2 linked regions of the Caenorhabditis elegans genome follow. The protein of the gene in region 2 interacts with the protein of the main gene of each other region in a pairwise test. Each region holds a gene or a part of one and is shown on either strand. Other genes may lie near its edges.

Region 1 (5,101 bases), on a different chromosome or scaffold from region 2:
GCAGTTGCAACTGAGGTTTGAGTATTTAAAAAGTTTTATTTACAAAGTAACTATTTCAGAATTGTCGTGTAGTTCTCGGTGATCGTCCTATTCAAGTTACACTTCAACGTGCACTGGCTTCTCTCTCCATCTGGCAAAAAATTCGCTTCTTCTTCCACGTTGCATTTTCACATCGTGAGAAGATAACTGCAGAAGAGGTATTTAATTATTCAACCTTTTCCAAAAATATTCCAAAATTATAGGTGGAACGATGCAAGCAACGTGACCTTCTGGAGCAACTTCTCGCCGAGATGGCTGATGATTTCCCACAACTATCCCAAATCTTTGTGGAAGAGCGTGATGCCTACATGACGCATGCTTTGCATATGCTCGTACACCGGAACTCAGTCGAAAAACGTGCACAATGGCTTCGTGGAACAACTGGGCAACAATTTCAACCGTTGACAGTTGTTGCTGTCGTTGGAATCGGACATACTCCAGGAATTGTTAACAAATGGAATACAAATATTGATTTTGATCCACTTATGAACATCCCACCACCAAGCCTCGGAACAAAGGTAAATTAATCTGAAGTTATTTTAATTCTTTCATTTCTTTATTTCCAGGTTTTCTCCACTGGCGTCCGTATTGTTGTCTGGGGATCTTTGGGATATTTGGCTTATCGTGGAGGACGTGCTATCTTCAATCGTGTTAGCACATTCATAGAGTCTCGTTGGTAGGTTGGAAATTTTTGTTTAAAATTTAGTTTTGGGAATGTTGAAATTAAACGATGAAATTAAACGTGAATTTTGCAAAATCAAGGTCGCACAGAGAGAGGCAGCGCGTAGTTTTGCAAGCCTGTGGCATTGTTTTCCACCGTTTTTTGGTGGTTTTTTTTCGATAAGTTCTCAATTTTACTGGTTTCACTATTTTTTCTAATGAAAATGTTACCTAATTCAATTCTCATACGATTATGAGGAAATTTCATGTTAGATTTGTTGTAAAAACGAAGTATTCTCACAATCTTATGGGAATTGAATTAGATACATAATATTTTTATTCAAAAAAAAAGAAGGAAAAACCGTACCACAGGGATGAGAAATTACGCGAATTACCAACTCCCCATTCAAAGAATGAAATAATAGCAAACCTAATCTCATTTTCGTGCTTCTCCCGTCTTCTCTCGTTATTAGCTTTTCTGGTATCACCTGCTCCGCACAAGTTACCCATGACAACCAACCCACTAACTCGTATATCTTTTCAGAACAACTCATTGATTGAAGCGGGCACAACAGCATAGCAGCCGTCTACATTCGATCTACAGGCGTTTTCATCGTTATTTTGTTCTTTCCTAAAATGTTTATGTCTAATTATTGGACTTTTAATCGCTTTTTCTTGTAATGTGATACGATTTCTAGGGTGTAGATAGGTTGAGAATTGAAACAAAATTTTTCTTCTCCCATTTTTTTCTAAACTATCCTTTTCTGTTAAATGCCCAAACAAATTGCAATTTATTTATTAGTCCCACCCGCTTCTTCCGTTTATCGATTGATTTATTCTCGTTTTCTTTGTAAAATACACAAATAATTTAAATTATTCATCTCTCTATTGCAAAATCCCCTTCTACAAGTCCCCATATTCAGCTCGCTGGTCGTATAAATGACACATTTCAATATTATTCTCTCGTGATTCGTGGTAATATCCATAAACTATTATTATCTTTTGAAAGGTGATTGGAAGAGAAGAAGAATGACGAATTCTCAAACTGTCTCACTAATTGGACCAACTCAGATGGCTCCACAATCAACACCTCCACCTCCTGTGAATGAATTGTGGTTTATTGATGCGCAGGCAATGTTTCAGGTAATTTATGTGGAAATGAGCTATGAAAGTTTTAAGAAGTGCTGAAATTATTCGATTTTCTATACTAGTTGAAAAACGGAAAAAAACGAAATAAAATCTGAAAACACTCCAAAATCAGTCTTGCGAGATAAAAGATTTCACACGAAATATTTTAAGAATTACGCCAACCTCCGCTCGTTCTCCAAATCCAATGCCAACGAAATTAATACGACAATTGGCGGATTCGTTTTCGGACGTAAAGCTCGGAAACAGGTTATCCATGTGCTATTCGCCTACGCTGAAGATCTGACTGAATCGAACAGACAATTCTTGGAGAGCTCTCTGTCTGCTGGTAATTAATGGAATAATATTATTAAAAACTGAGATTTAATTCAGATATTGAACTGGTTGGAAACTTGAATATTGATGGACAATCACAGATTCTTCCTGGCGGGCAGTTCACCCTTCAGCTGACATCTCGAATGCTTGAAAATCGAAGTATCAGCGAATTTTTGGATATGAATGTGATGTTCAACAATGAACATGTTCTTATGGAAGGAGCTAGTTGTGTCAGCAGAGTACGTTCCCATAAGATCTTTAAATTATTGAATAAAAACGGTCCGTTTCAGGTTGGATACGAGTGGTCACTTCGAGCAGGTCGTGAACAAGAAGATGTCAAATCTGCTGCCGAACGTCTTTCAATGGCTTCTTTTCGTTTCACATATCTAAACGCTGAACACGGGTTGGTGATCCGTGAGCAGAAGCCAGAAGCTGCTCAACAGAAGTATCTTGATAAATTCTCGAAAGGCGCTGTACCATATAAGGTTTGGAAATACTGTCTAAAATTAATATGATTGACGGAATTTCAGGATGTTATCGAATTCACTGCCATGCAATCTCTCACTAGGGATACATCTAATGATACGGAAGATCAAAAGCTGGTTCCAACAGTTAAGGTTACCAAGGGTAAAGAATTTTGTTATTTTATAAAGATATTAAATTCGTAATTTAGATAACAAACATTTCACTCGGCTCGTCACAATTGGTGAGGTAGTTTTCCCAGCGTTCTTTGGAGATTCTTCACTGGATTTGTACAAACGATCACGTGAGGCATTCAATAGAAGAGCTAACAATACAATGATGGTTACAGTCAATGGAATAAGAGCTGGGGTAAAAATTGAAATGTAATATTTTTTATATCGATTGATATCTTGCAGCGCGGAGTAACAACGACCACATCTGCAACTTATCTTCCACCTGGATGGGTTTCTCTACTTCATCTCCAACTTCCAACTAAATGGACGGACAATGAACAAAGTATTCATAGAAAGCGTTTCAACTTCTATAAAAATTCAATTTTCTAGGAAATTACCGTATTCGTCTTCACAAGTTGTTCAACTTGCCATCATCTAAGCCAGTTCTTCGATTGTCTCAAGCGTTGGCTCTCCACTCAGAGAGTGCTCGTTTGACCAACAAGAAGCTCATTCGAGAGCCACATTTGTCTATAACAAATTGTATGTTTAAAAATGGAGTACCGAAATTTGAGGCATTGCTTTGTTGGACCCAAAACTACAGAATTTCGTAATGAGACATCAAATTTTGCCAACTTGACAGACCCGGAAATTGCGGAAGTTTGAATCATCAAGTTGTCAAAATTCGAGATTTTAGCTGAAAAAAAAACCGCATTAACTTTTTCTTTTGAGAAATTTTCAGAACGTTTCATAACGAAATGCGGAAGTTTTTGGCAATTTTGGGTCTAAACAAGCAAAGACTCAGAATTAATTTTCAGATCAACCAGTTGGTGAAATAACCACTGTAAATGGGCCGTACAATTATCATCATTACATGCAAGATGGAATTGATGATAGTGGATGGGGATGTGCATATCGTAGTTTCCAAACTATCTGGAGTTGGTTCATTTTGAATGGATATACTGATAAACCTGTGCCAAGTCATCGGGAAATTCAGCAGGTTGGCTTAAGCAGATTTCAATTGAAGTTGTTTTATTTGTTGCAGGCGCTTGTTGATATTCAAGACAAGCAAGCGAAGTTTGTTGGTTCACGACAGTGGATTGGTAGTACTGAAATCAGTTTTGTGCTCAATGAGCTACTCAGTAAGTAGTTGTTGAGTAATTGTATTTAATAGTTAAACATTTCAGAGTTAGAATGCCGTTTCATCGCTACCAACTCGGGCGCAGAAGTTGTCGAAAGAGTTCGTGAACTTGCTCGACATTTTGAAACATCTGGAACTCCTGTTATGATCGGAGGAAATATGCTTGCACATACTATTCTTGGAGTCGATTTCAATGATACCACTGGAGAGACTAAGTGAGTTTTTTTTTTTCAAATTGGAAGTATAGCAACACAATAATTTCCAGATTCCTCGTTCTTGATCCTCATTACACTGGCTCCGAAGATATCAAAACAATCACTTCAAAAGGATGGTGTGCATGGAAACCAGCGAGCTTCTGGAGCAAAGATCATTTCTACAATATGGTCCTTCCTCAACCGCCTAGCGATGCTATTTGAGTGACTTTGTATTACCATGCCTATGAAAAACAATGCATTATATATCTAAATTATTGCCAACCTTCTACCCATTTACATTGTAATTCCTATATTTTTTTAAACCTGGATTAGTCCTTTCTCGTCTGTGATTAATTTATTTCCTCTATAGAGAAATGCTTTCTATAGCCCAACCAACGTTTTTTGGGAATAAAAAATTGGTCAAAAGTTGAGTACAAGTCAAGCATGGCGATCTAGAAACATCGAATTACCAATTGTTGGTTCTTCAAAAATTTCATTTTATTAACCATACGCAACTTTTGCGGGTTGTTGAGCTAAAAGAACTGTGCCCGGTTTTCCTTAAATGCAAATGGTACGCGCCTTTAACCGAGGACTGTAATTCCAAACTTTCGTTACTGCGGAATTTTTCATTCGATTAAAAAAACACTTTCTATTTATTAATAGTTAAATTTTATCAAATCGGAAGAAATGTTATATTATGAAAAATAAATGAAAATTCGGCAGCAAAAAAATTTTGAAATTACAGTACTTTTTCAACGCTCGAAAATTTGTCGTATCGAGACCATGTAACGTATTCTTGCGCAAAAATTGAAAGGTATTGTTTTGAACGAAAATTGTACACAATTCAATCCAACGAATTCATTTTTCAGTCATTTTATTCACAAAACATAAATCCATCAAATTAAATTGCTTCGCCCAATTGATCCGGTTCGAAATACATTCGTGCCCACTGGGTTAGTTGTCCTCCGAGTGGT
Region 2 (4,854 bases):
AAAACTCAATTTTGCCTAAACTACAGAAATTCTACAGTACCCGACCATATCCCCCACTGACCCTAAACCAATATCCCTTCAAAAGACAAAAACTCAAGTGTTCCTAAACTACAGTAATCCTACAATACTCCTACAGTACCCCGACCATATCCCCCACTGATCTTAATCCAAGGATACTATAAAATAACCATTTTTTCAGTTATTCCGGAAAGAATATGCCAGCTCCAATAACATCGACGAGCAACACTTTGTACCTGTGCTTCTCCTCAGACTTGGTCACCAATTTCTCGGGATTCTCCGGTCTGTATACCTCATTTGTCTCGAACAACTTCAAGCGCGGAGTACTACCACAGGTGAGAAAAGATCTAGGCCGGCTTGGAAGCAGGCAGGCATTTTTGTGCCTAGGTACCTAGGGCTTCACTAAAAACTAATCTTTCAGTCCCTGACAACGGATTCAGTGGCGATTCGTCGTGACAAGAACATTCTCGACTGGCTCAAAAAGAAGGCCGAGGAGAAGAAGCTTATTGGAGCTGCTGCAGCACCGGTTATCTCTATCTAGTAGTCCCCCGAAATTCTCAATATGTAATGAATTATTATTTCTTCGCAATTATTTTTTGCCGCTTACTGTATGAAAGTGAAAGGAAAATTAGAAAATTAGTGATGGGGGGGGGGGGGGGGTGATAAGAGAAATCTGGGTTGAAGGGGGAGGGGTAGGGCGATAAAAAGGGAAATTTTAGGAGGAAGAGAAGCTGGTTTTTAAAAAATAAAATTTTTGTTCTATGCCCGGACGCGGGAAAAATTTCACATTGATCTACAGTAGATCATCATCACGGGCTTCTAGTAGCGGTTTTTCGCGCTCCATTGAAAATCGGTGAGCGGAAATTGCAGTTCGGCAAAGGAAGGTTTCAAATTCGGCAATTTGCCATTTTGCCGATTTGCCGGAAATTTTGAATTCCGGCAAATTTCACGATTAGCCGGAAATTTTCAACTCCGGCAATTTGCCAGTTTGCCGATTTGCCGGAAATTTTCAATTCCGGCAACTCCCCGATTTGCCGGAAATTGTCAATTCCGGCGAGTTCCCGATTTGCCGGAAATTTTCTATTCCGCCAGTTTGCCGATGTGCAGGAAATTTTCAATTATGGCAATTTGCCGATTTGCCGGAAATTTTAAATTCCGGCAAATTTGCCAGTTTGTCCTAAATTGTCAATTCCGGCGATTTCTTGATTTGCCGGACATTTTCATTTCCGGTAATGTGCCAATTTGCCGAAAATTTTAAATTCCGGCATTTTGCCGATTTGCCGAAAATTTTCAATTCCGGCAAAAATCGACCCCAGCCGTGGCCGAGTCAAAATGGCCTGAATATAATCAAATGTGCTCCAACGCACCAGCCGACTGTGACGGACATTATTCAGGGCTTGACCTACAGAAATCGTTTGACCTACTGGCGCCTCATTATAAACTCATATGACGTCACAAATTTCAATAATTTCCCGCGCTTTCTGGAGGTCAAAGTGCCCATCCTCAACAAAACATCCCGTTCAGGGTCCTATCCCCAAGTCTCCAGACCCTAAAGCCTACAATCATAAAGCTTGTCACTAAATAATTGCCATGTTTTTGTCTGCCAATCAACTGACTGTCCCCCTCCTGCTGTGGTATATTCAGAAGATACCAGAAGCTGTAACAAAAGACGCAGGACGTACAAGACAGGTTGAGAGAGACACTGTGGGGGCGCAGACACACACAAAAAAATCAGGGGGCGGGAAGTGAATCGAGAGAGGAAGAAGCTGGCATCTAGAATACCAGACTGACAGGCGACACACACCACGAAAAAAAAACATGTGGACCTTCAACAGATCTACCGCGGAGGCGCCAACTATGCCGTCAAGCTCTAATACGGTAGGTGGTAACTATTTTACTTTTTCTGGAATTTCATTTTGTAAGCTACCACGGATTTCTGGCTTCCCTCTCATAAATTGAAATGGAAGAGTTTGCCAAACTAGGCCATTTTGGCTCGGCCATAAGTGGGGTAGATTTACGGCGCGTTGCGTGTCGCGTCGCGGCTCGATTTTAGTTGTAAAACTAAGTCTATTTGTCCGTGTGGAGTACACGATTTTAACACGCGTTGTCCGCCGGGCGATTGTCAATGGAGCGCGAAAAATTCTCTGAGGAAAGACAGAACCCCGTGATTTTGGCCTAAAAATCATTAAAACAGGAAAATTGCCGAAATAACGGGGTTCTACCCTTCCTCATTGAATTTTTTGCGCTCCATTGATAATCGTCCGAAGGAAAACGCGTGGGTAAATCGTGTACTCCACACGGACAAATGCATTTAGTTTTACAACTAAAATCGAGCCGCGGCGCGACACTCAACTCGCCGTAAATCTACCCCAGTAATGGCCGAGCCAAAATGGCCTAGTTTGGCAAACTCTTCCATTTCAATTTATGAGGGTAATCAGAAATTCGTCATTTTGGCCTAAAAACACCAATTTGGCCTAAAAACATTAAAACCACGGGAAATTTGAAACAGGAAAAAAATGGCAAAAAATTCTTGGAAACCGGCGAAATCGGCATAACTAATCCAAAACGTTCGAATGTACTATTTTGCCGCCAAACACCTAGCGGGTCATGGTGCGGGGGCCGAGAATTTCCTATTGGCAGTGGAGCGCGTTTCCACGTGGATTTTTCTGCGTACCCATAATAGCCGCGTCACACAGTTAGTCACCCAATTTACTACCTAATTGCATGGCCTTTGTGTCGGAACTCGTTTTTTTCGTAATGTCGCAACACATGGTACATAGATAAAAATCTCGAGATAACCTATAGTTCAGTTCAAATGTGAAGCAAATTTACTGGTGAATCGGGAAAAAACTGGTAAATTGTTCGGGATATATACTTATTATACATCAAAAATTGCTCGAAAAATTGTGAATTTCAGCTTTTTTTTCAGGAAATATATATTTTCTAGAAGAAGAATACCGGAAAAAGGTGCGGGTCATTTTGCACGCCATCACGAAATTTTCGCAAATTCCAGCGTTTCCGTCAAAATAGTAAATGTATATTCAAAATTTTTTCATCTAATTATCAAGTGAGGCTGCTCTTTTCAAGTTTCGCTGTAAAGAACCGCCTCTTTTTCGTAGTTTGTTTCACATAAAGTGGTGGTGACTCTGCAATTAAAGGTGTGCAAACGCGCTCTGTGGTTACGTGCAAGAGAGAAGAGATTTAGAGAAGTTGGAGGGAATATTAATTGTTTTTTTTTGTTTTTAATTGTTTTTATGTGTTTTTTTCGCATTTTTCGTTGATTTTTCGTTAAAAAACTTCAAAAACAATAATTTTCATTCAAAAATTTCAATTTTTCCAGAAAAAATCACTGAAAATGGCAGATAACGACAGAAAACGAAAGCATAACCGATGGAATCAAAAGTGAGAGCTAAAATTTGAGAAAAAAAAACTATTCTAAGACAATTTCAGAGTTAAACAAAAATCTGTGGAAGCCGGAGTGACCGGACTATTCTTTTCCTGCGAAGGCCACGAAAAGCAGGCCCTACAAGAAGCCTACAGTATTATTGACGAGCTTCTCGAAGACCCGGCGAATGGAATCTCTCTTAAAGCACCAGAAGCTGCTCCACAAGGCTCAGAAGCACCCGGAAATCCAGCAGAAGCTGAAGATTCCGATGAAGACATTGCCGATGCGTTGAAAAAGGCTTGTGATGATCAGAGGCAGCCGAAGCCGGGAAATTTCGTGAAAAAAGAGAGAAGATGCATTCAAAGACCGACGGGAGTGAAGAATTGCATTTTTGTGAGCGTGAAAAACGCGAATATTCAACTTTTAGCCGAAAAAATGGTCGAGCTGACGCAAAAAGCTCCGCGTTGCAGGTTTTTGCAACGAGTTTACCCGGTGGAGCATACTTTAGCTGTGGATCTTTCAAAAATGAATGAAGTTTTGATGAAGGTGCTTTTATTTAATTAAATTAATTAATAAAATAAAAAAAAGTAATTTTTCAGGTAATCTCCGACACATTGAAGGCAGACGGCACTGGCAAACTTCCCACGTATTCCGTGGAATTTAAAGCGAGAAATAACGATTCTGTGGCGAAGAATTCCGTGCTCCAAATGGTCGATGACGCCGTTTGTGCGCTGGCTCCGACTGCGAGAGTTAGCCTAAATCGTTAGTGTCTCTAAAAATCTGAAAAAATTTCAAAAAAATCAAAAAATCAATGATTCCAGACGCCGACGTCACATTCTTCGTTCAAGTATCTCGTACGACAATTATGGTTGGCGTGTGCCGGCAATTTTACGACCGCCGAAAGTATAGTCTTCGTGCGACGCCGGCAGCGGCAGCGACATAAGTCTCTTCTTCGACCTTTTTCCCCCTTTCACCCAGCGCCTCATTGGCTCAGTGGCAGAGCGTCTGTCTAGTAAACAGAAGGTCGCTGGTTCGATTCCAGCATGAGGCACCGAATTTTTTTTGTTTTTTTCATTTGTTCTGTTAAAATACTTTGGCTATTTATTTGTTAAAATACATGAAATTTGAGATTCGATTGTTAATTATTTTTTAAATGCATGGTATCTATAACTGTGACGTGTCAAAAACTCAGGTCGACCCTTGCTCGCGCGCGTCTCATGCACAACCGAGCAAGAAAAAAAACGTGCAACCAACCCGAAAATCTAGCTCACCCGTTCTGCGCACTCCCCAAAATCAACACTATTTCGCTCTCTCGCAGCTCTTCCAAATTGTCAAACAAACCGAGTAGTTACACGCACCCCCCGCCGAAACTCGGGAGCATTCAATCTGGCCTGGTTTTCCAGTATGCTGAAATTTTTTGGACTATTGTAAATTGTTTGTGAAAAAGGTCT

The links. Proteins that work in one complex are often made in the same cells at the same time.
Region 1: the proteins of kel-8 (region 2) and odr-8 interact in a two-hybrid assay, tested with the Caenorhabditis elegans proteins (one study listed by BioGRID).

The regions. Positions count from the first base shown.
Region 1 is NC_003282.8:6,579,288-6,584,388, reverse strand, and holds odr-8 (Ufm1-specific protease), read left to right. Parts: upstream 1-1,684; 5' UTR 1,685-1,728; coding exon 1,729-1,842; intron 1,843-1,998; coding exon 1,999-2,173; intron 2,174-2,217; coding exon 2,218-2,399; intron 2,400-2,450; coding exon 2,451-2,645; intron 2,646-2,690; coding exon 2,691-2,787; intron 2,788-2,833; coding exon 2,834-2,991; intron 2,992-3,038; coding exon 3,039-3,138; intron 3,139-3,185; coding exon 3,186-3,335; intron 3,336-3,610; coding exon 3,611-3,792; intron 3,793-3,837; coding exon 3,838-3,934; intron 3,935-3,979; coding exon 3,980-4,148; intron 4,149-4,198; coding exon 4,199-4,349; 3' UTR 4,350-4,553; downstream 4,554-5,101. Other genes in the region: F38A5.2 (TraB domain-containing protein), read left to right, coding at 1-15, 60-197, 243-557, 606-715, 1,244-1,244; C43G2.3 (uncharacterized protein), read right to left, coding at 5,029-5,101. UniProt on the Caenorhabditis elegans protein: Thiol protease which recognizes and hydrolyzes the peptide bond at the C-terminal Gly of ufm-1, a ubiquitin-like modifier protein bound to a number of target proteins.
Region 2 is NC_003283.11:2,669,628-2,674,481, forward strand, and holds the start of kel-8 (BTB domain-containing protein), read left to right. Parts: upstream 1-1,836; coding exon 1,837-1,896; intron 1,897-3,358; exon of another isoform or gene 3,359-3,373; coding exon of another isoform or gene 3,374-3,420; intron 3,421-3,468; coding exon of another isoform or gene 3,469-3,949; intron 3,950-4,002; coding exon of another isoform or gene 4,003-4,165; intron 4,166-4,224; coding exon of another isoform or gene 4,225-4,346; exon of another isoform or gene 4,347-4,540; intron 4,541-4,854. Other genes in the region: W02G9.4 (CUB domain-containing protein), read left to right, coding at 200-353, 440-559; thum-1 (THUMP domain-containing protein), read left to right, coding at 3,374-3,420, 3,469-3,949, 4,003-4,165, 4,225-4,346. UniProt on the Caenorhabditis elegans protein: Substrate-specific adapter of a BCR (BTB-CUL3-RBX1) E3 ubiquitin ligase complex that regulates degradation of glutamate receptors in neurons. The BCR(kel-8) ubiquitin ligase complex mediates ubiquitination and subsequent degradation of rpy-1.